Schizosaccharomyces pombe: one gene and its partners. Changing the gene in region 2 together with the main gene of any one other region gives a genetic interaction. Each region holds a gene or a part of one and is shown on either strand. Other genes may lie near its edges. The genes, in order: cwf11, cdc5, dre4 and prp3.

What was found.
Region 1: mutations in cdc5 (region 2) and cwf11 impair growth when combined (synthetic growth defect), as found in Schizosaccharomyces pombe (one study listed by BioGRID).
Region 3: mutations in cdc5 (region 2) and dre4 are lethal when combined (synthetic lethality), as found in Schizosaccharomyces pombe (one study listed by BioGRID).
Region 4: mutations in cdc5 (region 2) and prp3 impair growth when combined (synthetic growth defect), as found in Schizosaccharomyces pombe (one study listed by BioGRID).

Annotation. Positions count from the first base shown.
Region 1 is NC_003423.3:920,725-929,399, forward strand, and holds cwf11 (protein Cwf11), read left to right. Parts: upstream 1-1,947; 5' UTR 1,948-2,000; coding exon 2,001-5,855; 3' UTR 5,856-5,917; downstream 5,918-8,675. Other genes in the region: TORC1 serine/threonine protein kinase Tor2, read right to left, coding at 1-1,560; gta1 (glutamyl-tRNA amidotransferase alpha subunit), read left to right, coding at 6,126-6,372, 6,419-7,244, 7,292-7,634; mRNA cleavage and polyadenylation specificity factor poly(A) polymerase Pla1, read left to right, coding at 8,265-8,675. UniProt on the Schizosaccharomyces pombe protein: Involved in mRNA splicing where it associates with cdc5 and the other cwf proteins as part of the spliceosome.
Region 2 is NC_003424.3:2,692,133-2,697,930, forward strand, and holds cdc5 (splicing factor Cdc5), read left to right. Parts: upstream 1-2,566; 5' UTR 2,567-2,625; coding exon 2,626-2,644; exon of another isoform or gene 2,645-2,684; coding exon 2,685-2,704; exon of another isoform or gene 2,705-2,761; intron 2,762-2,770; coding exon 2,771-2,785; exon of another isoform or gene 2,786-2,849; coding exon 2,850-2,969; exon of another isoform or gene 2,970-3,038; coding exon 3,039-3,487; exon of another isoform or gene 3,488-3,551; coding exon 3,552-5,202; 3' UTR 5,203-5,285; downstream 5,286-5,798. Other genes in the region: [pyruvate dehydrogenase (acetyl-transferring)] kinase Pkp1, read right to left, coding at 1-42, 102-974, 1,054-1,220, 1,304-1,397; SPOM_SPAC644.13C (Rab GTPase-binding protein), read right to left, coding at 5,286-5,798. UniProt on the Schizosaccharomyces pombe protein: Involved in mRNA splicing and cell cycle control.
Region 3 is NC_003424.3:423,239-429,146, reverse strand, and holds dre4 (splicing-associated factor Dre4), read right to left. Parts: upstream 3,170-5,908; 5' UTR 3,118-3,169; coding exon 3,078-3,117; exon of another isoform or gene 3,042-3,077; coding exon 2,825-3,041; exon of another isoform or gene 2,784-2,824; coding exon 1,805-2,783; 3' UTR 1,732-1,804; downstream 1-1,731. Other genes in the region: nuclear membrane protein Tht1, read right to left, coding at 1-494, 557-1,161, 1,204-1,564; pre9 (proteasome core particle subunit alpha 3), read left to right, coding at 3,924-4,670; RhoGEF Gef2, read right to left, coding at 5,244-5,790, 5,840-5,908. UniProt on the Schizosaccharomyces pombe protein: Component of the spliceosome involved in mRNA processing.
Region 4 is NC_003424.3:4,400,502-4,410,759, forward strand, and holds prp3 (U4/U5/U6 small nuclear ribonucleoprotein complex subunit Prp3), read left to right. Parts: upstream 1-3,377; 5' UTR 3,378-3,585; coding exon 3,586-3,666; exon of another isoform or gene 3,667-3,716; coding exon 3,717-3,875; exon of another isoform or gene 3,876-3,921; coding exon 3,922-4,581; intron 4,582-4,623; coding exon 4,624-4,934; intron 4,935-5,017; coding exon 5,018-5,435; 3' UTR 5,436-5,488; coding exon of another isoform or gene 5,489-8,595; 3' UTR 8,596-8,669; coding exon of another isoform or gene 8,670-8,837; 3' UTR 8,838-9,095; downstream 9,096-10,258. Other genes in the region: F-box/WD repeat protein Pof11, read left to right, coding at 1,516-1,642, 1,718-1,812, 1,864-3,162; mxr1 (peptide methionine sulfoxide reductase), read right to left, coding at 10,104-10,132, 10,188-10,258. UniProt on the Schizosaccharomyces pombe protein: Participates in pre-mRNA splicing and in nuclear mRNA export. May play a role in the assembly of the U4/U5/U6 tri-snRNP complex.

The DNA of each region.
Region 1 (8,675 bases), on a different chromosome or scaffold from region 2:
CGCATGATCACTAGTCTGCGATAAAATAGGATCACGAGCAAATAGTTGGGAGCAGGTTATGGAGGCGGTTTTGCGTACTTCCGGGTCATTGTTTTCAAGGTATACAACTACACAATCCTTCACAAATTCATTAAGAATATAACCGGAGAAGTCAAAATTTCCCAAAACTTTTAGAGCCAAAATATAGACGTCATTGGGAAAAAATCCTGTCTTCAGGGAAGCACTCTTTGAAGATTTTAAAGATCTTGCTACATATTGGGGAGGACATCCTGGAGGAATAAAAGGACGACCACTTAGAATTTTGCTGAGCATATCTAATAGTCGTTCCTGTATGACTGGTAATAATGGAGGTATATTATGGGCCAGATCTGAGAGAGCACGGTAAGAAGCCTCAGAAAGTCCGCTTGCAAATATTAAGTCAAAGAGGTCATACGCATAGTTTGAAAAGGCTTGTCCTAGTGCTATAGAAAGTAGGCTAATGCATTGAAAAATTGCAGCATCCGAAGCACTTTTATTACGGATATGGATTTTTAGACTTTCCTTGATTGAATCGCATATGGGGTCAAGATATGGGATTATGCTATTAGTAATAGCCACGGCAACTTTTCCAATAGTGGCAAACGCCAACATCTTAACATTTTCTTTTTTTAATAGATTAAGTAGATGGAGCATACAAACGTGTAAATAATTGGAAACAAATTCATCTGGATTATAAGCTGCGAGTGTAGCAATCAATTCTGTAACGGTTTTGCGAATAAGCAAATCTTTGTGATCTCTGAATTGCAATATAATGTCCGATACTTCTCGATACCTCTCATGCATAAACATTCCAGCTTTTAAAAATAATTGGCGATATACTAGTAAACTACCATGAATGTAATCAGAAGAACCCTGTGCAACACCACGTTGAGCTTCATTGAGAATACTTGTATACCATTGGAGACGGATGGATGAATCCCTTTGCCTAACGATTTTCAAGAACTCACTCAACGCATCAGCCGAAGCTATTCGAATAGTAACTTTTGGATCCCGAAGTCCATGCCATAAAAGCTCAAAAATTGAATCGATATGAGCATAGATTAATGTAGACGTATTTTTGGCAAGCTCCTTAAGTATAAGCACTGCTGCATATCTACGATTTTCATTACGTTCTCCTTGAAGCCATTCCAAAGCGCGTTTAACTTCGAAGTTCACAAATTCAGAAGTTAGAGCACCTCCAGGAACTGCAAGTCTCCCTAAAGCTTTTGCAGCAAGAACGGTGGCTTTTTGGTCAGTTCCTGGAAGAATAATACGCAAATAATTTGCAAATCTAGTAATCCTTGTAGTATCTTCTCCTTCATAATCAATTAGACGATTTATGGCAGTTACGCCTGCCAGACGATCGAGTGGATCGGTACTGTGAATTAAAGTATAAACGTACTTGTTAACATCATTGTTAAACTGAACTAAAGCTTCGCCCGATAATTCTCGAGAATAAGCTATAACATATTCATAAAGATCATTTGCCGCTTTATTGCGAATTTCTTCATTCCTGCTTTTCAACCCAGGAAATTCTTTCATTATATACAGCTTAAATTAGCATCATTCTCTCAATTAAACAAAATTATTAAATGTGGTTGGTGGTGACCAAACAAGCACCTGCTGTACTTTTGCACCTAATTCTTAGTATACGCAGAGAGGAGATCAATAGAAACACGATTGAAAAAGTAATATTTTTATGACGATTAATTATTTGTAATAGATATACAAGTTAATATTTAGTGTTCTCAAAAAATCCAAGTTTTATTAAAAAAAGTCTAAACTTAGGAACTTTGGTAAAATACCAAAAACGAGTGTTGATTATCTAAATTTTATTTTCGAAGTATTACTTTAAGTTTTTTACTTTACATTTTTCTCAAAGCTCATAGAGGAGAACAAATAAGAATCGCTGTTAAAGATTCTGACGCTAACCACCAAGTTCACAACACTTGTGATATTGCTAATATCCCTTTCTCTATTAAATGGTTCTGTATAAAAACAAAAAAAAACAAATCATTAATTATGCAAATTCGAATTGGGGTCAAAATGAAGGTGTAGAATTTCAAGAAACTATGCTACAATGCATCCTCGAAGCTGTCATTGTAAGTAAAGATGCTAAGCAAGTACTTAGTCTGTTACATGAGTTAAAGCTTTTTGAGAATTTCCTTTGGCAGAGGGTTAATACTGAGATGTCATTGAACCATATAAACTTAACTTGTATGCTTCTATTATACAAATCCAAATATGAATATATTACATGGGACCTCATTGATGAAAATCGGTTTCAATTATTTTTTGAAAAAGTAATTGAAGTCTCTTTATCCTTAAATTTATCAGAAGTGGTTTACATGATTCAATTCATTACTCTCTGTTTTCAGTTTTCGAATATAGAGAAATTAAGGAAACTTGTTTACCAGTTAACGAACATTTCTATTTTAAATTCGCTTGATAATCTTGATAAAGTAAAATATTTACTACATGACTCAAGCTCTCTGACGAAAGCCTTTGATTCTTATAAGGAAAAACGACCGTCTATCGTTGAAAAGTTCCCTTTACATAATTTACTTTCCCGCTGGATTCATTCTCTGCTTATTAAATCGATTAGCTACGCTCAAACTGAAAAACAAGAAGCGAAAGTAACCCCCCTTTTAGCAATTATCAATATGTCTTTGGTTTTACTATCCGCATTTCCCACACGTCGCTTTGCTCATCCCGTAATAGAAGACAGTTGTTTTTATACCGCATTAAGAATGTCTTTGTATTACGACAGTAATGAGCTTTTTAAAAAAATGACAGACGACTTAAACTATGTTTTGAAATTCCCTTTTGATAATACCAGAGGTAACGAATATGAGAAAGAACAAAAAATCAGAAATGATGAGCTTGTGTACTACCACTTACAGTTAACTTTATTTTCGGATTTTCAGAAGGAATTAGGGGATCTGGTATTTTGCACACAAACCTCTTTACAACAGCGACAAAAATTGGAGGAAATTACGTCTTTTCTTTCCTTCAATTCACTTAAGTCCTTGTGTAGTAAATGTTATTTGAGGACTTCATTTCCCGAAAAATATGCTATAAAAGTGGATTTCGAATTTTTAAAAAATGTTTTTATTAACACGTATGATAGGACTAGATTGGTAAATGATTATGATGAAATCATAAATTTTACTTTGAAAGATGTACTTGGTGAGCGATCCGTGATGGACCAAGAAAACTCTTTGACCAATTACTTCCTACTACAAAACACTGCTATACAATATCTTTCTATATCTTTTTTTATGAGACAACAGAGTAAAGCTTACAAAAAGTTATTGTTAAGGTCACTATATGCTGAACTTTTAAATTTCAGTGAACAATACAGGAGACTATCAATTAAAAATGCGACCAAGAATTTGACCAAAGATAATTTTTTCTCTTTAAATAACTTTAAAGTTACCTCCGTTGCTCCACCTCAAATCGGTCAAGTTTTACCTCAATTTGTAAAGTGTCAAATGGGTTTAAGTCGACCTGGACCTTTTCATTCAGCGTTACGTGATTTAAAGAATTCCATCAAGAGCCCTTTTCTTTGCTTAATATACATTTCTAAAGATATGGAGTACAAGTTATTACATGGTAATGCGCTTGACCCCTTAGAAGGGGTGACTGATTTTACAATCGCGACGATATGCAATGATGATGTTGGAATGTTTCAAAGCGATATGCAGTCAGATTCTGACAACAAGTCCATCAATGTATACCTAAGCCCATTTTATTATCATTCCCTTGCGGGGTTGGGGGAATATCGCCCTAAGCAATTGAAGTTCAACTTTGCTTTGGTACTGTCTCCTGAGGCAAATAAGTATTGGTTGGACTTAAATATTCTTGTATCTTTACTTAATCGCGCTAAAGAATTTCCTAAATGGTTCGAAGATTTATTTTTGGGTTTTGGAACGCCTGATATATGTGCTTTTCCTAATGCTGGGCTTAATTCTATTTATGCTAGAAACTTGTTCAATACAGTCGAACAGTTGCAATCAGTACTTCCTAATTGTCATGTACCTTCTAATTTATCAACTGAATCTTTACTAATCAAATTTTATACTAATCAGAACAAAATATCAGCTGATGTTACCGCATCTGATAGGCATTTTTTACTACCATCAAATCGATTATATACTTACAATGACAAACAGCTAGAATCGATTTTACGTGGATCTCAACCAGGATTAACTATGGTTAATGGTCCAACTCGTTGTGGAAAACATGTTTTGGTATGCAAACTTCTAGAGGTTTTACAAGACACATCTCCCAATGATAGAACCGTTGTACTTTCTGACTCCAATTTCTCTATGAATACTTTGTTTACCTTACTGGAAAAAGCTAGATGTTTTCACCAAGGGCACCTATTATATCTATCTGATGAAGGAAAAGACGAAACGTTGGAACGTTATGGTACTTTATCGTCTTGGATATCTAAGCTTCCTGGTCTTCTACGAGAAATCGGTCGCCTAGCTGCTTCAATCCAGGCTCCAGGTTCTCATGACGCCAGCCCAGATACGGCTTTGTATTTTAGGGATGCTTATATTAAGCGACTTTGGGAAAAGTACTTGAACACGGTAGATGATAAGGATTCTGTGGATGCCTATAACAGGTTCCCTTTCCATTCGTATTTCGGTGACAAATCTAAGCGTCCGATAGAAACGTATAATAAAGATAATTTTTTCGATTATGCGACAAAGTTATACGGGGAGTTAGAATATATGTTCCAACAGCTGGAAGAGATCCGGCCTTTTGGATTACTGAGATATTATGAAGATCAAGAATTGTATGCATTATGCCAACAATCTAGGATTATCGGATGCACTTGGACGAGCTTAAGTACACGCTTAGGGACTTTGAAAGAAAAGGGATTTTGCTTTAACAATTTAATTGTTATGAACTCACAAAATATAAGTGAAAGCTCTATCACTAGCATACTACTTTCAAACTGTGAACCAACTGGTTTTGATCGCCTTGTTCTTCTGGGTAATCAATATCTTACCTCTGGGAATCAGGATATAAATAATACGTCAAATGGTTCACTTTTCAAACGTTTGCGGTATTTGAAATCCAGAATTATTGACCTTAATACGCAATACAATGTTAGAGAATCTATCAGTTCTCTATGTTCATCAATTTATCCTTTGGACATCAAAACTGTGGATTCTAGTCCCAATAAAAGACTTGATTATGGTAATTCGGGGTTTGCACATGAGGTCCAATTTATTAATGTGGGAGCTTTTAAAGGTTCTCAAGAAACAGAACCCGTTAGCGGTTATAAGCAAAATCTTGGAGAAGCCGAGTACGCAGTTGCCTTATTCCAGTACATGCGAATGTTAGGTTATCCCACCAACGAAATTGTAATCTGTACGCTTTATGAGAGTCAAGTCAGCCTTTTAAATGAAATTATATCGGTACGCTGTTCTCATAACTCGTTTTTTGGTCAGCCTGCTTTTGTAGGTACCGTGGAAAAATTACCAAGCGATAAACGGGTAAACTTTGTTATATTTACGACAGTTGAATCTAAAGAGGCCTCTGATCATTGGAATCCAAAAACATTTTATAAAGCCTTTTCAGCATGCTCATATGGTCTGTACGTATTGTGCAACCGTGACCTTTTTCGCTCTACACGTGGTCTTGAAAAACTGTGGAATGAAATTGAAAAGACTCCTGACAAGCTGCTTTTAACCACGGGAGAAATATATCCAAGTTCTCACAAAATCGGATCTTCCGTTGAAACATTTGAAATTGAAAATTTACTTCATCTCTCAAACTATGTTGTTGAAATGACTAAAAAAAGGTTAAATACGAATTAAAATAAAAACCTACTTCATATAGACTATTTGCTTGTTGTATTGAATTAATGATTATTTGTAAGATTAAAGTCATTTTATTTCATTGCTTTTTTGCATAATTAACTTATTTAAAAAACTAAATAGTGAGCTTTACAAACAATAAAAAGTTGATCCCCTCAGAAAAAGTCTTAGGTGTCATACCGATAATAGCTCACTACTTTATTCAACTATACAACAAGTTGGGTAATACATTATTTGCACGAAGTTAACGTCCAATGATTGATTGGTCGAATGAGTAATAAATATAACAATTTATTAAAAGAAGTTGCAGCTAAATATGCTAGTATCATTCTAAATGATGCGAAAATTAAGTCTTTAACTTCAATAAATAGTGCCGAATATCTATATGATTCATTTGTTGAAATTAGTAAATTACCACTGGAAAAGAAGCTTCCGTTAAAATGGAAACTGATTACAGTAAAGGAAAATATTTGCACGAAGACAAATTTAACCACGGCAGCCTCTAATATGTTGAAGGGTAGACAATAAGAATATATTTCAGTTACTAATTGCGGTTTAACTAGACTACAATTCTCCGTTTGATGCGTCAATTGTCGAAAGCTTGAAGAAAGCCGGCGGTATTATTCTTGGTAAAACAAATATGGATGAGTTTGCAATGGGAGTCAAGAGCGAAAACAATCTTTTTGGTCGCACTGTTAATCCTGTTGTTAAGGATAGTAATTACGATGTTGGGGGCAGCTCGGGAGGAGCTGCTGCTGCAATCGCGGCGGATATATGTTATGCATCAGTTGGTTCAGACACAGGAGGATCAATCCGTCTACCTGCTGCTTACGTAGGTTGTGTAGGTTTTAAACCATCTTTCGGCAGGATTTCGAGATATGGAATGCTTGCCTTTGCCAATAGTTTTGACACAGTGGGTATCGCTGCAAATAATGTTAAGGGCGTTACCAAAGTATTTAATGTTTTAGACCATCCCGACATAAATGACTCAACCTGTTTAACTAAAGAAGCTCGTTATTTTGTTAAAGAGCAGCACAAAAAATTATCGCGGAAGCCAATTAAAATAGGAATTCCAATTGACTGGAATGTTTCTGAGACTCATCCAAACGTTTTAGATAAGTGGAATGAATTCATATCTCTTCTGAAATCAAATGGTTATCTTGTCCAAGAAATACAGCTTCCAATTTCATTATACGCTAACAGTGTATATTCCACAATGGCTTATGCAGAAGCGACTTCAAATTTGGCTAAATATAATACTATCGCATTTGGCAATTGTTTAGATGAAAAGTTCGAAGAGGAAATAATTTCATCTACTGCACGCTCTTTTTTTTTAGGAGACGAAGTGAAAAAGAGGCTACTGCTAGGCGCTTATTCACTAGCAAGAATGTATGATATAACTGATTTACTAAGTAGTTACTAATATTTACAAATAGGAATTCCTCTGATTTGTTTTCTAAGGCTCGATACGTTCGCCGAGCCATACAGCTGGAATTCAACAAAAACTTTTTTCTACCTTCCTTTTCTGTCGATGATCCCAGGGGTGACATCGATTTCATAGTTACCCCTTCTTTTTTTAATTCCAGTCAACCCATTGAAACCCCGTCCTCTTATAGTCATCTTTCAGATACTATGTTAGTTCCAGCGAATATGGCTGGAATACCATCCGTTAGCATACCTTTCGGTACTTTGAACAATGGGCTTCCAATGGGAATTCAAATTATGGCCCAATATCTTAATGACGAAGATTTGTTGTCTTTTGCAGGCCAGTTTGCATAGATTTCGGCTGCTTATCTAAACTCTCGAAACATGGCTATGATAATCTTTATGAGCATAATAATTCTTTACTGTTTGGAATCAATTTCATACATTGAAACTTGTTTGCAAAGAGTTTTGGAGAACTTGTCATCAATAATTCGACAGTTTCCCTACAACTGCGGTAAATCCAATAAATAGATGTGGATTCTGAATCATTTACACTTCTCAGCAACATAAATTATTTTTACATTTCAAGTCGCTAGTTTATTCAACCAAAAAAAATGCATATCTGAAGGATGGAATTTAACGGGTAAGCTTTTAAATACAAAACCAGGAGCAATCGGTTTGTCAGATAATGAACATAGTGCACTGTCAAGATATATATGATAAACAGCAACAATTGTATAATTTACCAGATAAATTAAATTTGATTTAATCGAAATAAATGTCTCAGTGCAACTGTAAATGAATTTTTTGACATTATAATAAGATAACGCACTTTGTGAAATTGCGTATTTATGCCTTAAATCCTAAACGAATGCTAACCAGATCTACACATTTAGCATTAGTACGCTTTAAACCAGTTGTTTTTAAAGGTTAGGATAATTTAAAACAGCTACCTTTCAAGACTCCAATTTTTGTTTTCAAAGCATGACTACCAAGCAATGGGGTATTACACCGCCAATTAGTACTGCACCTGCTACTGAACAGGAAAATGCTTTGAATACGGCTTTAATTAATGAGTTGAAGAACCAAAACTTGTTTGAATCTCCTGCCGAATCTGAAAAAAGAGTAAAGGTTCTTGATGAGTTGCAACAAATAACGACAGAATTTGTAAAGAAAGTATCACTTGCCAAACATATGAACGAAAAGATGGCTAATGAGGCAGGGGGGAAAATTTTTACGTACGGAAGTTATAGACTGGGCGTTTATGGACCTGGATCAGACATAGATACCCTAGTCGTTGTACCCAAGCATGTTTCTCGCGACAATTTCTTTCAGGACTTGGAACCTATGCTTCGAGAAAGAGAAGAGGTAACTGACCTTGCTGCTGTACCTGAC
Region 2 (5,798 bases):
CCTAGTATAAAGTCGAGCGAGAGGAAGACCAAACCCGAAGCCCTATGCATGTTTGTTAGTATTATATATTTCAACGATCAATAATAAAATGTTTCACTTACAGCCATAGGAGTAGTAGAATTTGCGCTAACGATATCGTGAGGATCATCTGTCAATGTAGGAGAGGCAGTTGTAAACATGTATGACCAAACTAAAGGGATATTTCGACGGGATATACCGCCTCCTTCATCAGAGATTTTGATGGTTATATCCTCTTGTCCTTTTGCAACAATGACCTTTATGGGAGGAAAGAAATCACTGTCTACACCATGAAATTCTACGGTTGCACGAAGACTGTTTTTGAGAATTTCAAAGACTGCGTGATTTAAATGGGACTCTACATACATCATTTCAAGTGAAGGATCGCAAATAATTTGAATCTCAGGTGCTTCAAACAATCCGTACGCAAGCCTGCAAATGTACTTGGCATTTTCAGCAGCACCTTCTATTATTTGATAAATATTTGCACGTGTACTTATCACACCAACGTAATTCTCACGCGGCGGTTCAGAGACAAGTGCTATATATTGACCTAACAGCATTCGAATTCCAATACGAGACATGTAAAACCTATCCAAAAATATTTGAATACTGTTGTCAATTTGGTTAGTCTTCCTTCGGTATTCTTGTATGTCCAAAGCAATTTCGACTGCAACGTTATCGTGTCTAGTTCGAATGGTATTTAAAAGGTATGCAAAATTACTATTAAATTTTAACAAAGATTCGGGCCAATTACAATCAACGCCATTATCTTGGTCAGAAAAATCTGTTTCAAAATAGCGACCTTTTGAAGAGTCTAAATGAGTATTTGCAAGCGAGGGATTATGAAGAATTTCAGAGTCCATTAAACTTGACCTCCATTTCGGGGCATTGTGATATCGAGCGTGCTTTGGAAGACATTTCGGTAGTTCCACTCCTTTCAGTTCAATAATTTCCTTCAACCAGTTAGCTTTGTTTGATTTCTGGTTATGTTTCGACAAGTATCGAACATGCAAATATACACATTTGACCTACCTCCATAGATCTACCGTAAGCAGCCTTTACGGAAGATATACGCTTCATACTTCGTAGCATCGGTGAAAGATTCTGCAGGTCTTGGATGCGCCGAGCCAAGCGAATGGGCAATTCATCTCGCAAAAACAAGCCAGCCCGGAAAAGTGTTCCTGGTGTAGGGTTCTTGCCTTCATAATAAAAATTAAGCAGTCAGTATAAAATTTCTAGTATGAAGTAATCTAAGAAAAATTAACTGAGCAAAAATTCTTACCAAAATACACTAATTGCTTTAAAGACAACCCTGTTTGAGGATATTGAGCCAAGAGATTGACTTTCTCCTGTAAAGTTTTCCCGAGCACTGACATTTCTTTTAAACCTTAAGTTTTTCTTTAAATTCGATAATGATAAATAGAACAATTGTTCAATCGTAAACTTTGTTGGTTTGTCTAACAAATAGATGATAACCCATGGACGAGCATAAAAAAAGCGGCAATTTGCAAAATATAACCTAAAGAAAGTAAAAGATGAGCTTCAGAAACAAACAAATAAAGCAGTTTCTTAATGTTTTCACACAGAATCTAAGAAAGCTTTTGCTAAACTAATGCATTCATATGTTTGCAAAGTACCCATAAAAATAATGAACTTGAGTGTATTCCATTAAAATTGAAATGCGTGATACATTATACTTCTTTTGCATTGCTTATTTTATTTTTCACAATACTGCTAGCTACACAGTTTGTTATCTAATTTAAGGATACGTAGAACTGCGGTGAGTTTTCCTTGTGGTCTATTATATTACAATACACAGGTCGTATGAGTAGCAACTGAGTATAGGTATTGTATTAACTAGGTTATAAAATGTTACCTATCACTAATATAGCTTATAACTGAACCTCGTTCCTCAGTTCAGTTAAAACTCTATTTATAATATTTCTAAATAGTTGCTATCAACGGGTATCTATGTATATAGACGGATAGTTACCCGTGATGATCAATAGACGGATCTTAATTAGTATTCCAACATATGACATATAGTGATATGTAACGTAGTGTAGTATTGCTGACAAATACGCGGTCATTAGGTTACTTAACGATACACATAATACTGCAATGCTTGTAGTTACTTGTTGATATACCAACCATAAATAAGAGGAAGAGTATGGTAGATCCACCTTCAAGATAAACATATTTGATCATTGCTATATCCTGCTTGTCAAATATTTTCTTAATACTCAACGGTTAGGAATATTCAAAAAAATTTAATGTTGTCCAACGATTTTGCGCTATTATATTTTTGCGATAAAGAAACATGTGCTACATTGAAATAATTTAAGGTAAATATGTGATACGTAGCAAACTGGAAAAAACAATAAAATGAATATTTGGTTTGACTATTAGTGTGTTTAAGAAACTGTTCTTTTAAAAGTTAAAACTACTTTAAATATAAAATATAATTTTGGTCACTTTCTGCTGCACTCGACATTTACCTCAATTTCCCATCCACCCTGTTTCGTCGCAAGTTGTTACAGTTACTACAAACCTCCATTACCACGCTTTCTGACAATTGTCAGGGTTTTGGCGAATATTTAGAAAATGGTTGTTTTAAAAGGAGGTTTGTAACTTTTTTTATTGTATTTTCTAACATAATTTAGGTGCCTGGAAAAATACAGAGGTAAAGACTATGATTTTAACCTTCTACCACGCGCAATGTTTTTGTTACTAACTTATTGGTAAACAGGATGAAATCTTAAAGGTATTTTTTTATTTATTAGTTACATATTTCCTTTAATATTTAGAATACTAACGCAAATTCCTAGGCTGCTGTCAGTAAATACGGTAAAAACCAATGGGCCCGCATAAGTTCATTGCTGGTTCGCAAAACTCCTAAACAATGTAAAGCTCGTTGGTATGAATGGATCGATCCAAGCATTAAAAAGGTATGTTAAACATGTAATCACTATTTGTTATTTGACAAGACCTATTGTTAACATTTCCTTCACATTTAGACTGAATGGAGTCGTGAAGAGGACGAAAAATTATTACACTTAGCTAAGTTACTTCCTACACAGTGGCGGACGATTGCTCCAATTGTAGGTCGGACGGCCACTCAATGTTTAGAACGCTATCAAAAACTTCTTGATGATTTGGAAGCGAAAGAGAACGAGCAGTTGGGATTGATCAGTGGAGAAGGTGCAGAAGCAGCTGCGCCTGTTAACGATCCAAATTCCCGGCTTCGTTTTGGCGAAGCAGAGCCCAATTTAGAAACCCTACCTGCACTCCCTGATGCCATTGACATGGATGAAGACGAAAAAGAGATGTTGAGTGAAGCACGTGCACGTTTAGCAAACACACAAGGAAAGAAAGCCAAACGAAAGGATAGAGAAAAGCAGCTTGAATTAACTAGAAGATTGTCACATCTCCAAAAGCGAAGAGAATTGAAGGCAGCTGGAATCAAGTATGTGTTATTATTATTACTTTATTGTATTGTTTTTCCTTCATTATGTTAATCTATAACTTAGTATAAAGCTCTTCCGTCGAAAGAAGAATGAAATGGATTATAACGCTTCTATTCCATTTGAAAAAAAGCCAGCGATTGGTTTTTATGATACCTCAGAAGAGGACAGGCAAAATTTTCGGGAAAAGCGAGAAGCGGACCAGAAGATAATTGAAAATGGAATACGGAATAATGAAATGGAATCCGAAGGTCGAAAATTTGGTCATTTTGAAAAGCCAAAACCTATTGATAGAGTAAAAAAGCCCAACAAAGATGCCCAAGAAGAAAAAATGCGACGTCTTGCCGAGGCTGAGCAGATGAGCAAGAGGCGGAAGTTGAATTTACCTAGTCCTACTGTGTCTCAAGATGAACTGGATAAAGTAGTGAAACTAGGCTTTGCAGGCGATCGTGCTCGCGCTATGACTGATACGACTCCAGATGCTAATTACAGTACTAATTTGTTAGGAAAGTATACACAAATTGAACGAGCTACTCCATTGAGAACACCAATTAGTGGTGAACTTGAGGGAAGAGAGGATTCAGTTACAATTGAAGTTAGAAATCAATTGATGAGGAACCGCGAACAATCTTCTCTCTTGGGTCAGGAAAGTATACCTTTACAACCTGGTGGTACTGGTTACACAGGAGTTACTCCCAGTCATGCAGCTAATGGCTCAGCTTTGGCAGCACCTCAAGCAACTCCTTTTAGAACACCACGTGACACATTTTCTATTAATGCAGCTGCGGAGCGAGCAGGACGATTAGCAAGTGAAAGAGAAAATAAAATTCGATTGAAGGCTTTGCGAGAATTGCTTGCAAAACTACCTAAACCTAAAAACGACTATGAACTAATGGAGCCTCGATTTGCGGACGAAACTGATGTTGAAGCTACTGTTGGAGTGCTTGAAGAAGACGCAACAGACCGAGAACGTCGTATCCAAGAACGTATTGCAGAAAAAGAAAGGTTGGCAAAAGCGAGGAGGTCACAGGTTATTCAAAGAGATTTGATTCGACCATCTGTAACACAACCAGAAAAATGGAAGCGTTCACTTGAAAATGAAGATCCGACTGCAAATGTTTTATTGAAAGAAATGATTGCTTTGATTTCATCGGACGCCATTAATTATCCGTTTGGAAATTCAAAAGTGAAAGGAACGGCTAACAAAGTGCCTGATTTGTCAAATGAAGAAATTGAGAGGTGTAGATTGTTACTAAAGAAAGAGATAGGGCAACTAGAAAGTGACGATTATATCCAATTCGAGAAGGAATTTTTGGAAACGTACAGTGCACTTCACAACACCTCAAGTTTGTTGCCAGGCTTGGTAATCTACGAGGAAGACGATGAAGACGTTGAAGCCGCTGAAAAGTTTTATACGAACGACATTCAACGAGATTTAGCTAAGAAAGCATTGGAATGTAACAAGTTGGAAAATCGGGTTTATGATTTGGTTAGATCTTCATATGAGCAACGTAATTTTTTGATAAAGAAAATCTCGCATGCTTGGAAGGCTTTGCAAACAGAAAGGAAAAATTTAACGTGCTACGAATTTCTATACAATCAGGAGCGATTAGCTCTACCTAATAGGCTTGAAGCAGCTGAAATAGAGCTAAGCAAAATGCAACAAATCGAGGCGTATGCTCAACAAGATTATGCTAGGGTTACTGGACAAAATTAAACTTCACTTCACTTTGTTTTAAATAATTGTCATAGCTTATCATTCATAGTGTATATTATCATGCCTGAAATAAAACGAAAGTTTTATAAAAAGATAATCCAAGCTAGAGAAAAGTAGAAAAGGAATAAAGGGTATACTGCCAACAATTTTTTGTTGGATAGATTAGAATTTTGTAAAACACCCATAGCAGCGAACAATGTCCAGGCATACATTGCAACAATCACAGGTATGCGTATAAATATTAAGGGAACGAATGCACAAACTATAGAAGCAATCATTAAAGGGAAAGAGGAGTACCCCAATATACACATAGATTGAAAAATGCTAATGTTGGCCCCTAGTAATTTTATATTTAAAGAACAAACCGCTTCCCCAAACCATATGAGCGCGACAACGACTGTAAAAACAGATTCTCGTTCAATCTTGTCAGTAGACAAGGCAAGTGCTAAAGCAATTACGAGGGAAAAAATCAAAGGACCCCACAAGTCCCAGTCGCGTAGTACTTGAGCATTTTTGGGATACAAAACATAGACGAGTTTTTCACCAATAGCTCTAAATTCATTAAATAATGTAACACGAATGGGTTCGTCCAGAGA
Region 3 (5,908 bases), 2.3 Mb from region 2:
TATATATTGCACTCCTCTGGTGCTGGAAGGAAAAGAGATAGCTCCGTATCTTTTTTGGAATTTCGGTATTTTAGATATCGCAGAAAATTTAATAAAGCACATAAAAATGCTGTCAGATAGAAAGTACGGATATTTAATTTAATAAACGAGAGAGTTCGCGCAATAGTGCAAGTGATCCATCCGTAAAGATTCACCCATGAGGTAATCTTAAAGCAGTAAATATGAATAAAGATTATTGATAAGGAGCCGAATACAATAATCGGTCGGCGATGTATTTTTAAAACTTTGAAAAATAAACTGCTTAAGGTAGCGAACAGCGTGAAGCCTATAAAAGCAAAACTGCTAATAATGTTGGACAATCCTTTAAAATATACATTCATAAACTTCTCAACAATGTCAATAAGAGGCCTTAACTGTTGAAGTACCTTAAGGTGATCTTTACTGACATTTAAGAAGTCTGACTTCCATTGAAGTATCTGTTCGTGTTGCAAATTCTATACAGTACTGTTAGACAAAGCAATAACGATGAATATAAAAACCATTAAGTAAAACTAACCTGTTGCTCAGAGGATAAACGTTTCAATGATTGAAGCTCCTCTTTCAATTGAATTGTAAGATCGTATAACGGTTGAAAACCTGAGTTAACAAAATCGATGTTGGATTGCACTGATTGCTGTAATGAATCCTCGGTTGTAGTAATTAAATTTTTTATCCTTTTTTCCATAAAAGCAGAGAACTCACTGGTATATTTGCCGATAGCGGAAAGAGCAATTGCATTTTCTGAGGTAAACTTTTCATTCAATTTTTCAATTAAACTATTGGAATAACCAGCACTTTCTTCAATAAAATTAGCGAAAAAGGAGTTTATATCAAATATTTCCGATTTTAGTTGTTTGATTGTACTTAGTATTTCTTTTTGTTGTACCATTCCTTCCTGTTGATGGTTTTGCAATTCGACTAAGCCCATAATTTCTTGGTTGACACGAAAGTTGATATCTTTGAAAGAATTTTCGATAACTGAATTAAATTTTCCATCAAACTTATCAATACGTTGATTCATTTTATCTGTCACGCTCTCAAAGTTTCGCAAATGCAAAATTACCATTTCCAAAAATTGCTTTTGCACAAGAGTTACATTCATATTCACCTCGATTGATAATTCTTGTTATATTGTTAGTTTGTTAGAGTTTATTTAAAGTTTACCTTTTTGCATTTCCAGATTTGCTAACCGGCATAAGTGATTTACATCATGAAAGTGACTAGTGAATGAAAGCCACCAGGTAGAAGTTGACTCCAACTTCGATACACATTCACTTTGCGAGCCACGAACGCATTCTGAAGGAGCCAAAATTTGAGACCGTTCAAAATCGCAAAGAGTCATTTGAATGGCTGAGTGAATTCGATTATCGATAGTCAACTCAGTATTCAATAAGCTACATTTGGAAATTAAAGTTGCAGCAACTTCCTGATAGCAAGTGGATTTTTTCAAGAGTGCTTGATATACGTGAGCTAAAGAATCAAAACCGGCTAACCCCTCGGAAAAGGCCACATTCGAATATTTCATAAATGATTCTACATCTCCGGTAGACTCACTAGTAAAGAAAAAAGAAATAATAATAAAAAACTCGAAATATAACCCAAAGGACGCGTCGGATGAAATTTCATAATTGTAGTAGATGGTAAACAAAGAAACTCACCCGTCGACAAACTACTTGCTTAAAAGAGTACGCGAAAAAAAATAATTTTTTTCCAAATAAATTAATAAATGAGAAATTCTCTAAGCACCTATTTAATAAAAAATTCATTAATTACTTGAACAAGCCAAGGAATCCAGTTCTTCACGCGTCAGTACGGCATATCGTGTGTCATTAAGTATGCTTTCTGTGAATTCGTCGGGGTTTTTAGGATCTACAGTTTTTGACTTGCATAGCTTTTTAAAATTTAACAGTTTGTCCTGCATAGGCTGTTTTCGTAGAATCTGAAACTCACGGAAAAGTTTCTCAAAATCACGTTCCGAATATCCTGGAATTTGAAGAGTCGACGACTTTCTATATTTACGTTTAAATTGAGGCCATAGCAAGGTAGATGGAAGTGAATGAAGCAAAGTCCAAAAATCCGATAAGGTATTTTTTCTACGCGTAATTTTTTTGGTAGAAACCACCGACTTGCAATATTCCTCAAACACCTCTTTTCGTCTCTCTCCCGAATCTAATACGTAAAAACGATCATCGTCTAATAACTTTGGATAAACTAGTTCCCACGGTTGGTATGCCCCGATGTTTTTGTCCTTCAAAAGTTCAGTAAATACTCTTCTAGCATCATCAGTAGATAAATTTGTAGCTTGTTCCTGTATATCATAGGAAACTGTTTCATCATCCAATTGTTGAAGTTGATACATAATATCTTCCTCACCAAACTCCAACTCTTCAGCGGAGTGTGATTTTTCCTCATCCTCTTCTTCATCAGATTTTTCATAAAATTCTTCAGAATATAAAACGGATTCCTCCGATGATTCTTCTAAACCAGAGGGCTCTTCAATCTCTGTTTGTAAATGCCTAGATTCATGTATTTCTTCGTGGTTGGTTTTACCACTATCAACGTTCTGACTCTGTGAGGAATCTTTACTGATTTGCTTCCGTATCGGAAGACGTAATATCTTCAAGTCTTTACTAATTTCCAAAGGAGGTTCCCAATATGATTCATGGCTTTTTAAATTGTGAAAGAAATACCGATTTTTCTTAGTAAAAACAACCACCCATGAATCATTATTAGGAATTCTTTTTCTAAAAAAAAAGTTAATAACAAAATTTTACGCCTCACATACTTGAATTTTGGTCTGTCCGGTAATTGTTTCCTCAAATCTCGAGAATTTTTGCGCTCTTCAGCATTTTCATTAACAAACAGCTTTTCGCTTGTGTTAAACGCCAAAGAAGCTTGCGAAGCAGTAACAGAAGATGAATGGTTTTTCTCAATGAAACTTGGGCGCTGGTAAGTGCTTTTTTTTAACTCGGCATTCCAGTAATAAGGAATCCCACTGGGTGCTATGAGTTAGCAAATAAACTGCTCATTAAATTTACCTTTATGTTCAGTCCATCCAGGAGGCAAAGGCTGTGACATTAAGATATGTACAATCAAGAAGTTAAGTTCGACACTATGTTAGGTAGTATTCAGTGGGCGTGTGTGTGAGAATAGATAGAACAGTTTTGCAAAATCCAGCTGAATAGTTATGTCAATTACAAAAAAATTTCTACAAACTATTAAAAAAAATCTGTATAAATTGCATAAATTCATAGGTGTAGTTAACATTATTGAATATACTACAAAAACCTCATAACAGCACCGCACGTAGCGTCTTCCCAAGTATTTCCTTTAGAACAAATAAGAAGTTAATGAAATGGTCTACCAAGTACAATATAATAAAACATTTTCGAGAACTTCAATTTTAATATTGTCAATTTACAACAACCCGCATAAATTTACGAGCAATTCATAACTCGTGGTAAATCGTTAAACGGCAGGCTGGAAGTATTTGTAAGCAGCTACATTTTTACACTAGTATTGACTCCTCTGGTTCAAATATTTTTACAAGCAGATTTTAATTATTAGCAACCTACACTGATAACTTTATATCTTGAGGATATGAAAGTACTAAAGGTAAATTGATTATCGTAAAAATAGCTCTCATTTATAAAGACATTTGTTGTACAGCATAGCTTGTAAAAATAAGCGGATTAACAACATACTAATTTAAATCATAATAGATTAATTGTATTAGAAGACAGGTAAAAGTCAGTCCTGTTATAGTAGTGTAGTAAGCACATAAAGAATAAAGCAAGTGTGGTAATCGCACTTCGGTAGACCTCATTAATGTTCGTGATCTAGTGCTTCGCGCATTTTCGAACTTGTCATCAACCAAATTCATTATGTCAAGAAGCTACGATTCTCGCACGACTATTTTTTCACCTGAAGGTCGTTTATACCAGGTTGAATATGCATTGGAAGCGATCAACCATGCTGGCGTTGCTTTAGGGATTGTAGCTAAAGATGGAATTGTTTTAGCTGCTGAAAAGAAGGTTACCAGCAAACTATTAGAACAAGAAGAATCCGCAGAAAAGTTATATCATATAGGAGACAATATGTTATGTGCTGTGGCAGGGCTTACCGCAGATGCAAACATCCTAATTAACTACGCTAGAAGGGTTGGGCAACAATACTTGCAGACTTTTAATGAAGAGATGCCTTGTGAGCAATTAGTTCGTCGCGTTTGTGACCTCAAACAAGGTTATACACAGTATGGTGGGCTACGTCCATTCGGTGTTTCATTCTTATATGCTGGATGGGATCATATTCGTGGATATCAGCTATTCCAATCTAATCCATCTGGAAATTACGGAAGCTGGCAAGCAAATAGTATCGGAGGAAATAGTACTAGTGTTCAAAGCTTAATGCGACAGGAGTATAAGGATGATATAAACTTAGATGAGGCTTCTGCTATGGCCGTGAAATTTTTGAGTAAAACGTTGGACAGTAACTCCCTAACTCATGAAAAAATTGAATTTGCAACAATAACAAAGGATACCACGAAAAACAAAATGGTTTGCAAAATATGGAAGTCAGATGAAATAAATGAAGTGCTCAATAAGTACCAAGAGACCCAGCGGCAATCTTAATATTGCCTTACTCAATTCATTGGGAAAACACTTTAAGTGTATAGCTGTTTTTTATAGCTTTCGTCGTTACCCTTTAATCTCCTTGTAATTAGCTCATGGTTTTTGTAAACAATTTGAAGCAAACTAAGTTCCATCATGAGCCTTATTCCGTCTCAATATAGGCTTGCTTTCTTTTTATCTACGCTAAATCATTATCTTATGAATTCTTATGCCGTTTTAAAAAAGGCTTTTTTCAAGTTTCTTTTATACTTAGACCTTTCTTTCTCATTCCCTTCATAACGTCAATTTCTACTTGAGTACACCATTCCGGCATATTTAAAATTATAGTATTTCCAATGGAATGTCAATGACTCTCATATGTTCTAAACTATATGCTTAGTTTTCATAACTGAAGATTTTAAACGGTGTAGCATATTCCAATTCTATACTATTTATAAAAATAAGAGAAAACTTTTTGATGAGTATTATTAACTTTCACTTACATATTGAAGGATAAAAAAAATAACTATTGATATCTAAAAAAGGAATAGTAAAACAAATAATCTAATAATCGATGTAGTATAGACTAGTTGGCTATATAAATATGTTGGTTTGACAACCTTCCTTAGCGTTTAGCTTGGATTCATACTCTTCAAGAGTCCACTTTGCGGTATCTAGTTCACATTGTTTTCTAATTAAACTGGCTTGAACTGATTGCTTTATAAGCTTAAGATCATGGTTGAAGCGATCATACAACAGAGGGATAGACTTTTTAGAATCTTCATTTAATCGAGTCATTTGAGCCAACCTTGCAAGAGTCAGATGATATTTGCGTCGTAAATCCTCGTATGCCTCTCGTTCTATTTGACCAGGTAAAATTTCCTTAGGGTGTCTTTCCGGCATTTCTTTCATGGCAATTGCTTGGAATTTCGATTCATCTAACTGTTTATCATTATTGGAATTCGCAGGGGAAACCGGAGTCGGCAATTCCTCTACTGTTCCAAAAATGCGATCACTGTGGTATGCAAGGTAATAAACAAGTTCTACAGCATTACTTCCAAACATGGAAGGAGCCAAGGCAATTGCTAGTTGTTTCGTAACAAAATCACATTGATCTTTAAGAGGAAGTCTCAAAAGCAAACTACGACGTTAGATAATAAAACCTCTGAAAAACAAGCTTGGTGACTTACTCGGAAGCAATAGAAAAAATGTTCTCAAGGATCTTTAGGCTACTCTCGGGTAAGTCTTGTAAGATTTTT
Region 4 (10,258 bases), 1.7 Mb from region 2:
AACAAAACAACCTATCTCACACTATATCTTAGCCCCGAACAAGCCTGATGTCAAAGGCTCCTAAATTTAATATTTAAATTACTCAAAACTGGTAAGACAAGTTTTGTATTTTGGCGGTACAGAAAAACTACAATGACTGAAATTCAAAAGATCTGACTCAATAGATAGAAGACATTCAGATTACTAATTTAAATACTAAATGGTTATTCAGTTTAGGTTAAAAAAAAAGTGGATTATCCTTAAGATAATATTTGATGAAAACCCAAATTTCACGTGGAACTGACGACATTTTGCAAAGCGAGAATCTATTTAGCACGGTAAACATCAAATGAAATTGGTTGAATAACCTCTTCATTATAATAATTTATATAGCGATATTTGCGCCCCTGCTTGCCACTTTTTCTTTTGTGTATATTTTTTTAAATAGTAGTATAGCGCACAAGTTTCATCTGTAATACTATTAATATGCATACTGAGCAAGATATGTTCGCTGGTGGAGGAATCTTACAAAAGCCGTTATAATTTGGCCTAATTAAATAAATCACTGTTGTACTATTATAGTGAAAAATGACAAGCGTCTGCATGAATGCGAATTTATATCCTTTCAGTCTATAGTTGCCTTGTGATAGAATTAACTCATACAGTGTGTCACGTTTAAAGCAACTAAAAAGGCATAGTGGTAAGAAGGCGAAAACATACTAGTCAGGTATTCTTTTCTAGCTACTTTAAAAAAGCTTCCATTTCGTGGCTGTTGTCGAGTATGCAAATAACTGAAATGTCAATTGTTGGAACATGAATGACAATCATGCTGAATAATTGTAACCACACAATTCATTTTTGTACTATGCACATTGACCACTTCTTATTTTCCTCTTTGGTGTTTGTACAGTTAAATTTTGTTCGCCATACATCTCCTTAAATGGTATAGCGATAAGCACCGACAGCTAGAAATATGTCAACTATTATAATGTGATGTACGCAAATGTTAGTAGAATCTTACATTTACTGTTTTCCTTCTGCTTTTTCTATGGATGATGAATGTAGCTAAGAATCAGTTTTACGTTAATCTGTAATCACAAACCGCTCATACAAAAGAAGTAATCTCAACATTCCTGAATCCTCGCGAACCTTAACTTAAACGATATAGCGTATTGCATAAAACAATGGTTTAGGCTATTTTACTGTATAGTTTCGGATTGCGTTATTATGTAAATAACAAAGAAACTTGTTTGCATTGTTTTGAATGTTAAATACTTGGTCTTTTGCCATAATATATATACAATACGTATTAATACTTCGGTACATTCTACCAAAACCAAAGCGCTTATCGCAAATATTATTTTTTTTCACTTGTAGAAGGAAACTCATATCGGAAGGTTGTGAATTGAATTGATAGTTTATTATAAAGGCCTGCTGACTTGAACAAAGGTCTACGCCCATTTCAGTTTGATACAGATATGCCCCGTGTCGTATGACTACCATATGTAATAGCTTGGGATCTTGAAAACTTTAGGAATGAACCAGGACGACAATGGCAAAAATGTGGTTAGCAAGGTGTCAGATTTGACATCTTGCAGTGATTTCAGTACCTCAAGTCCGGTTCCTTGCCTAAATCCGCTGTCTCATGAAAATAATAGAATTGGTATGTTTTTTTTGAAGCTCACGGCTTTACTTCTTTTTTAATTTGTACTCTTTTCATTTTACTAATATAAAGAAGACTTAATTCGTGATCTGTTGGCTTCCTTATCCAAAGAAGGGGTAGTTGCTGTTTACAATCACGTTCGTTCTCTGTTATTTACAGATTTCACAGAAGTATGAAGTTTTCAATTCCCTGTATAATATAACTAATATCCGTTAATGTAGGTATTTCCTGAAGAGGTTAGTTTGAGGGTGTTTAGTTACTTAGATCAGCTTGATCTATGTAAGTGCAAGCTTATGTCAAAGCGCTGGAAGCGTCTATTGGAAGATCCTGGAATTTGGAAGGCTTTATATATGCAAAAGGGTTGGTTTGTAAATGAAAATGTGCTAAATGAATTTGAAGCTTGGAGAAGGACACACAAGTTTCCTCAACCAAGATTCGAAAATTTTCTAAAGCAGCAAAATATCATAGGACCCTATGGTACAATGTTTCTACCGCAACAGTTTATCTTCGACTCCAACGGCCGGCCCTTGTTAAACTGGTCCTATCTATACAAAGAACACGCCCATTTGGATAGTAATTGGAGACATGGTAGATTTCTAGTATCTACATTCAATAACCCCTCTATACGCTTCCCTGCAGACCAGGATTTTCGTGCTACATTGGATAGTGTTTATTGTGTTCAATATGATGACGAAATCATGGTCAGCGGGTCTAAAGATCGAACAGTAAGTGTGTGGGATGTAAATTCTCGATTTATTCTTTATAAATTATACGGCCATTCTGGAAGCGTCCTGTGTTTGGACTTTTGTAGACGAAGAAATCTTCTTGTTTCTGGTTCTTCTGATTCAACAATTATTATATGGGATTGGCAAAACCGACGCCCATTAAAAGTTTATTTCGGACATACAGATAATGTGCTAGGTGTCGTTGTATCCGAAAATTACATTATATCTTCTTCAAGGGACCACACAGCTCGAGTATGGAGGTTAGATGCCACCTCCCCTGCTGAAGCTTGTATGCATGTTTTGCGTGGTCATCTTGCTTCTGTAAATTCTGTACAATATTCTTCGAAAACTGGATTAATTGTCACAGCAAGCAGCGATCGCACTCTACGCACTTGGGACATAACTACTGGCCATTGCATTCGCATTATTCATGCTCATCAACGTGGAATAGCATGTGCTCAATATAATGGTAAATTTATTGTTTCAGGCTCTTCGGACCTTACAATTAGGATATTTGAAGCAAGTTCCGGTAAACTGCTTCGTATGCTTCAAGGTCACGAAGATTTGATCCGCACTGTGCGATTTAATGATGAAAAAATTGTTTCAGGCGGTTACGATGGCACTGTTCGAATTTGGAATTTCAACACTGGCGAGCAACACTGTGTATTGCATAATAGTAGAAATTCTCGTGTGTTCGGTCTGCAGTTTGACCACAGACGTATTATTGCATGTACTCATAGTAGCGAGATATTGGTTTGGAATTTTGACGATGGATTGGATTGTACATTTTTTTAGCTACTCTCTTACTTATTATTCAATGGCGAAAAGAATACCAATTTGCTAGTTTTAACCTTCCCATCCTTTGCTCAGACCTGGGCAGTTCCTCTCAATATCGTAGTATATTAATTTTTTTTAATGAAATAGACTCCATTGTTAACATGTCTGCTTAGTTTTTGAATACAAGTATCGCAACAAACTATACTTAGGCGGTATGTGCCACCACACTCCTTGAATGGACCAACTAGGTTAAAGATTGAAGGACACAAAAAACTGTCAAGTTTTTTTACTATATGCATTTTTTTGAATTTAAGCGTTAATGTAAAGTTCACAGTTTATATTTAGACCACGAATCTGAGTTTTTCAAAGTTTACACGCACAGTCGTTGTACAAATTCGTATTCCCAGCTTTGCAAATTAAACTACTGCTTTCAATTAACTGATGGATCGTAACAAGAGGCGTTTAGAATCGTCTCAATTGAGGGAAAGTTCTTCGCCGAATTCTCAAAATAAGCCTAACGCTGTATGTTTCAAAAATATAAAACTAATGGACGAATATCTAATTCAATATAGATGGAAGAAATTAAAAGAAGACGTTTACAATTAGAGCAGCGTCTTGCACAACAAGCTCAAGTGCCTTGGGAAAAACGCTCTGAAAATGGGAATAATGCTGGAATGGAAACGATACAAAATCGTATATCAGAGCTTAAGGAAAAGACAGCCAAGAGATTTGTAAGTTTTTTTATTTTTGTTATTTGCAGTTGCTAATCGTTTGTAGAATGCCAATATACCCAAATCTGAAGGCTTGTTCAGAGATGATAGTAATGGTGCCAAAGGGGGATTAAAAGTTGGAATCCATCCAGTGCTTTTAGATGGTAACATTCAAAACACAATTTTAACACCTGAAAATCGTAAACGAACTGCTTCTTTTTCGACAAAGGGTGTTTCTTTATCGCAGCACCAACTATTGAAACCACCTGCTATTACAGAACAAAATCCTTTTCTTGATACAGCCCCTACTCCTAGATTAGAGGATTCACCATTTTATGATCCTCGAACGAAGGAATCACGGAAAACTAGGGGTTCAAGGAATTTGCATTTAAACGAATCTGGCAAGTTTATAGAAGAAGCTAATCAAGCTCGTCGACAGGCCAGATTGGAGGATCTCAAAAAAAGAATAGCTTTACACTCGCATAAGGCAGGGATTGAAGATGAACTTGACATTACGAGCAAGTCTATTGGAAGAGATACAATTCCCAACATTGAATGGTGGGACTTACCCTTTATAAAGGATTATAATGACTATGGTGATGAAAATAACTGGCTAATTGATGGTCCACAATCAATTATCAACTCAGCTATTCAACATCCTATACCTGTTCTCCCTCCTTATGCAAAAAACCAACCGTCATCTCATTCCGTCTTCTTAACTAAAAAGGTAAATTATTTGAAAGTTGATTAATTGCTGATTATTTTTTAGGAGCAAAAGAAAATAAGAAGACAGACTCGGGCTGAAGCTCGAAAGGAAAAACAAGACCGTCAGTTACTTGGAATTGAACCTCCAGAGCCACCGAAAGTCAAGCTTTCTAATTTAATGCACGTTTTAGGAGATGATGCTATAAAAGACCCTACTAAAATAGAAGCAGAAGTTCGAAAGCAGGTTGAAGAAAGACGTCTTCGACATGAGCGAGAGAATGAGGAACGGAAATTAACTCCGGAGGAGCGAAAAGAGAAGGCATTCCGTAAGAAAGATGAGGATTCAGCTGCCGGTCTACGTTGTTTGGTATTTCGGTATGTATCTACAACTATTGCATCTCTGTTTATGTTTTGTGTAAATATGTATTTTGGCTAATTTACTGTACTAACTTATTTAGTATTAAATACCTTGCTCATAGGCCTCATCGTTTGAAAATTGACCTTAATGCGAAACAATGGGGAGCTACCGGTGTGTGTATCTTGAATGCGAATTTTAATTTAGTAATTTTTGAAGCTGGACAAAAAGCTATCAAAAAATTAAAAAGACTAATGCTTGAAAGAATCGACTGGACTGATACTTCAAGAAATTCCATTATAGCACAAGGAAATAAATTAGTGGATACTGAAGGACGGGAATTAAATTATACAGAAAACACATGCAATTTAGTATGGGAAGGAGAAATTGGTAGGCGAGCTTTTCGTTACTGGTCGTTTAGAAGTTGTCCATCTGAAAACGACGCAAAGAGTTACTTAGAAGAACAAGGAGGAGCTGAGCATTTTTGGATGTTAGCAAAATCCTGGTCTGAAAATGTTTAAAAATCTGATAAAAAATTTTTATTATATATATTTTTGAATGATATTTTAATTAATTACTCCTCTTCGCTTTGTTCATCCTCGGAAACAGCTTGACCGCATTGTCTAAGCAATTCCTTGTCTTTAGTTCTCTTCGACTCTAATTCTTCAACTATCAGCAACCAATATTCATCAGCTTCCTTGAGTTTTTTCTCTAACTCTTTATTTTTACTCTCTAAATCTGAAATTGTTCGGTTGTCACTGTCCTTCAATGATTGCATGTTTAACGACGCGTTTTGCAAGCCAATAATGTCAACCTTTAACCTCTCAATCTCTTCGTCACGCGCATTTAACTTCTCATTGGCTTCGGCTAATGCTTGAGAAACTTCTTTAAACTTCTCGTTATTAACGCTTTTTTCTTTATTCTGGTCATCATTTGATACGCTCTTAAGAGAATCGTTTTCACTTTTAACCGTTTTTAGTTCTTTGCTTAAAGTTGAAGCTGTTTTCGTCGCTGCCTCCAAATCTTTTTCCAGTGAAGAAATTTTTTCAGTATGTTCTTTGGCAAGTTTGTTACCAAAATTAATTTTCTCCTGTAAATTGCTGCACTTCTGCTTTGCTAATTTTAACTCATTAGCTTGATTTTTATTGATAGATTCCATTGAACTCAATTCATCAGCAGCAGCAGATATTCTCTCGTTCAAGGTTTCAATTTGGTTTTTGTCTTGATTCAACTGCGATTGCAGCTCTTGCAAACGTGTAGATTCCTCGCTAAGTTTATTCTTCAAATCCGAAATTATGTTTTCTTTGTTACCAAGATTATCATTCAGTGCTTTCTTGGACAATTCAGCTTCACGAATTGTATTTTTGAAGGACTCTGTATCGGCATTCTTCTTATTGAGCTTTTCAGTAAGCAAATTAAGGTCATTTTCTAGCTTTTTGTTTTTGGATTCTAATGCAGCCAGAGAATTATTCAGTGACTTCGACTTTTCTAACTCAGATAACAAATCCCTATTTTTGGAGCTGATTATTCCAAACTGGTTTTTTATATCATCCAACTGTTTGGTAAGTTTTGAATGTTCCTCGATGAAATCTTTGATTTCGGATTCGTGACCTTCTCTCAAAACTTGCATTTCCTCCTCCATTTGTTTACAATTCGACTTCGTATAATCTAGTTCAATTCTCAAATCATATAATTTTTGCTGATTATCTAATAACTCTTCATGGTATTTTTCTGCCAGTTGTGTTTGTTCTTCTAGATTTGTTTTGCTAGTCTTGAGACTTTCATTCAACTTCTCTTCTTGAATAGATCTTTCTTTGACAGAAAGGTCTAATGCTTCTTTAGTGTTATCAATCTCTTCCCTCAAACTTTTCAATTGCTTTTGTGCTTCGTCAAACGCATCCAATGTATTGATTTCACCAATTTTAGTATTGAATGCGTCAGCGGCGTCGTCTATAGCGTGCTTAAGGCGGTAAAAATTATCCTTAAAGAAATTCACAAATGTAGTGTCAAAGAGGATGTCATTGCAATTACCATCTTCTGCTTCATTGACAGGAACGTGATCTCGTATAAGTTCATCCTGCGAAGCCGTTGTAGCCTATTAATGAACACGTCGCGCTTGACAGCAGAAGTGATTGCATTGTAGACATCAGATTTAGATACCGGAGACTCTATTGGACAATAATAGTAAACCAATGATAAGAATACAGCTATCATGCCTTGAATAACGGAATTTGCTGAAGACGATTCATCCATTAGCGCCGTCAAAAATGTTTGCAAAATGCTACTTTCCGACAAAAAGTCTTTGACACTATCAGGATTACCATAAACCAGAGCGATTAATAGTGTTAGATAACCAACACAATTTTGAAGCGCGTTCTCATGTCTTAAAGTAGCTATTAACTTGGTAGATACGCATTGAATAAAGGTGACTTTGTCTTCACTTTCGGAATCCTCGTCATTGTCCATATCTTGGAACAAAGGAATCGAGCACAAAAGATATTTTCTCTGGTCATTATCAATAACAAGGTAGGTAAGGATTGTGCTAGTGAACCAATTATCATACTGATCTTGATCGGACAAATGTACTAAATCCAAATATCCTTGAATTATATTGAGCCGATTATCTTGTTTATGGGTGTATGCATGAATAATTTGCTTTAAAAACTTCGATGAAAGCTCATCATTTTCGGAGGTTAATGACCTTAGGAAAAAAGCCACGGAATAGCGATGTGAAGGTGAAATAGAAGAAAGAAAGAGATAATCAAACAAACACGTCAAAACATCGGTATTTTTTATATCAAAAAAAGTAGAGTCGACAAAACTATTTTGAGCTCGAGCATTAGAATATACGACGTGCGCTAAAGTTATCCAGCTAATTTTTTGAACGTCAAAGAATAATAAATCAGGGTGAGTAGCAAGTGTGAGTAAAACATCAATGCCGTGATTGGAGACAACAGCATTTTGATTAGCAATACTAGAAGATAAGCCAATTGGTACTAATGATTGAAGAGCATATAAGGCTTCTATAACACACTGTACACGAGAAGTGTCCCAAGTTCCATCAACAAAAGTGTCAACGGACAAAAGCTTAAGTAAAGAAGGAATGTGGTTGGACTCACGGAAATAATTTTGGTTAGAAATGTTATCTTTAAGTAGAACGTTCAGAAATTTCAAGGCTTCTAGTGCTATTATACCACCATCGACACCACCTTCATTTTCTAGCAATGAAAATAATGTCTCAAAAGCGTTTTCAAATACCACCAACTTCTGGATGCTTGTGCAGTCCTTCACCAATTCTGACAAAAAATAAAGATCTGCATTTCGAACTGGCTCAATGGAGTCTCGAAGTGGAACCATTATACTGGAGATAGCAGAAGGAAATGTTTGAAGACAATCTTTCAATTCAGTGGGCCGGCATGATAAAATAGCAGAGAACAATTCAACAGAATATAGACGAACATAGAAATCTTTGTGGGATATGCTTTGCAAAAGACATTGAATATTGTCTTGGTTCAGGATAAACTGATCTGCTATCCACAACCCAGTATCTGAAGCTCTTGAGTCGTCATCGTGTCGCGTCAAAATTAAGCATGTTTCTAAAGTAACTTTTAAAAGTTCAGGATCATCATAGTCTCTGTGTAAAGATTGAATTATGCCTTTTAAGCCATGAGCAGCCACGAGCTAAATTTGTTAGTCCCAATCGAACAAAATTAAATAAAAAAGCAACCTCAAACTAGTATTTAAAAAAATCATACCTCCTTAAACTCTCTCGCAAAGCTCTTAATTCCGAGAGCAGCAGCTTTTCGATCTTCAAAAAGCGTAGCATGTTCCAACCGATCACAGAGCTTCGATATCGTTTCATCCGCCTGCTGAACTTTGGGAGGTGATAGAATCACATTGTAACTTTTATGAAAAATATCCATCAAGTGAGCGAATGCACGCAAAGGCAAACAGCAGGATTTCAGCTGTCAGAAGTTCCCCAATATAAAAGTAGTTAGCCCTCGCTTATAAGAAATTATTAGAAACTGCAATGCATTACGCTATGTTCAATGTAAACAAAGCATTTCTCCCGGACCACACGACAAACGTGAATTTACTTAAAAATCTGAGAACAACTAGGAAAAGCTAATTCTGAACCAATTTTATATATATTTTCGGACCCATGCCATTTAGGAGTGAATTAAAGACAATTGAATTACAGTAATACGTTCATAATTTCTTTTATTTAAGATAGATTTACACAAAAAATCTAAATAGTAACGTTGCTGTTATTCAAACGTATTTTCATTGCTTCGCAAGTTCATCTTTGTCGCTAATTCAGGCTTAAATTACTATAAATTATTTGGGATTACTTTATATGACTAGTCGAAAGGAGCAGCTGGATGCCTTTTTATCGAGAACTTTGTCAGAAACTATAGCTCACATTCCTTTGGAAAAGTTCGCACAATGTTTTCCTTCCATGAAAAAGGGGAAAGTTATAGCAGTCATCCATCAGCAGCTGATTGAGTTCTTTGAGAAATCGTGTAAACAAGAGTACGCAAACCTGATTAAAGAAAGAGATTTAAACAAAAAATTGGATATGCTAGATGAATGCATTCATGATGCTGAATTTCGCAAATTGCATGGAGAGTCAGAGGTTGACATTAGTAATAAACAGCCTCAAGAAATTCTAAAAGCACATTTGTATTCTCATAAAAGAGAACTTCTTGATAAGCTTAATCAGGATCTGTTGGATATTGACAAAGAAAATGAAGGGTTATCGACACAGATCGCGGCGGGAAGAAAAAGCAACTGAAGATTGTATATCCAGAATGCAATCGTTAATTCAAAAATTGGAGAAAACAGTTTATGGAATGAATGAAAAAAATTTAGCTAAAGAAGCACATGATACACTTAATGATCTACTTCCATACATCCAAAACCCTTCTTCTACATGGACTAATGCACTCAACGAACAAGGAAATATAGAACGTTGAAAGAAGTAAATTTCTAATCAGTTGCATAATTATATGCGAACAAAACTATATGATTTTTGGAACTCACAACAATAATAGTACTAATTAAGTAGCATTTTGACATCGTACTTAGCTTCAGACCAGTCTTGGTCTGTACCACATAACTAAGTTTGCAATCCCAACTTAAGAAAAACAAAATGGAAAAAGAAACACGCAATCTATGTTTCGTCACTTTTACTCAAAAACATTCCAACGCAAAAAATCTAATCGAATGAGTTAGTAACACTTTCTGGTTTACTTGGCATTTAATATTCATACGTGAGCTGCACCTGTACCCATCAGGATTTTTTTCAAGGTAAAGCTGATGATAATCTTCGGCATCCCACCAT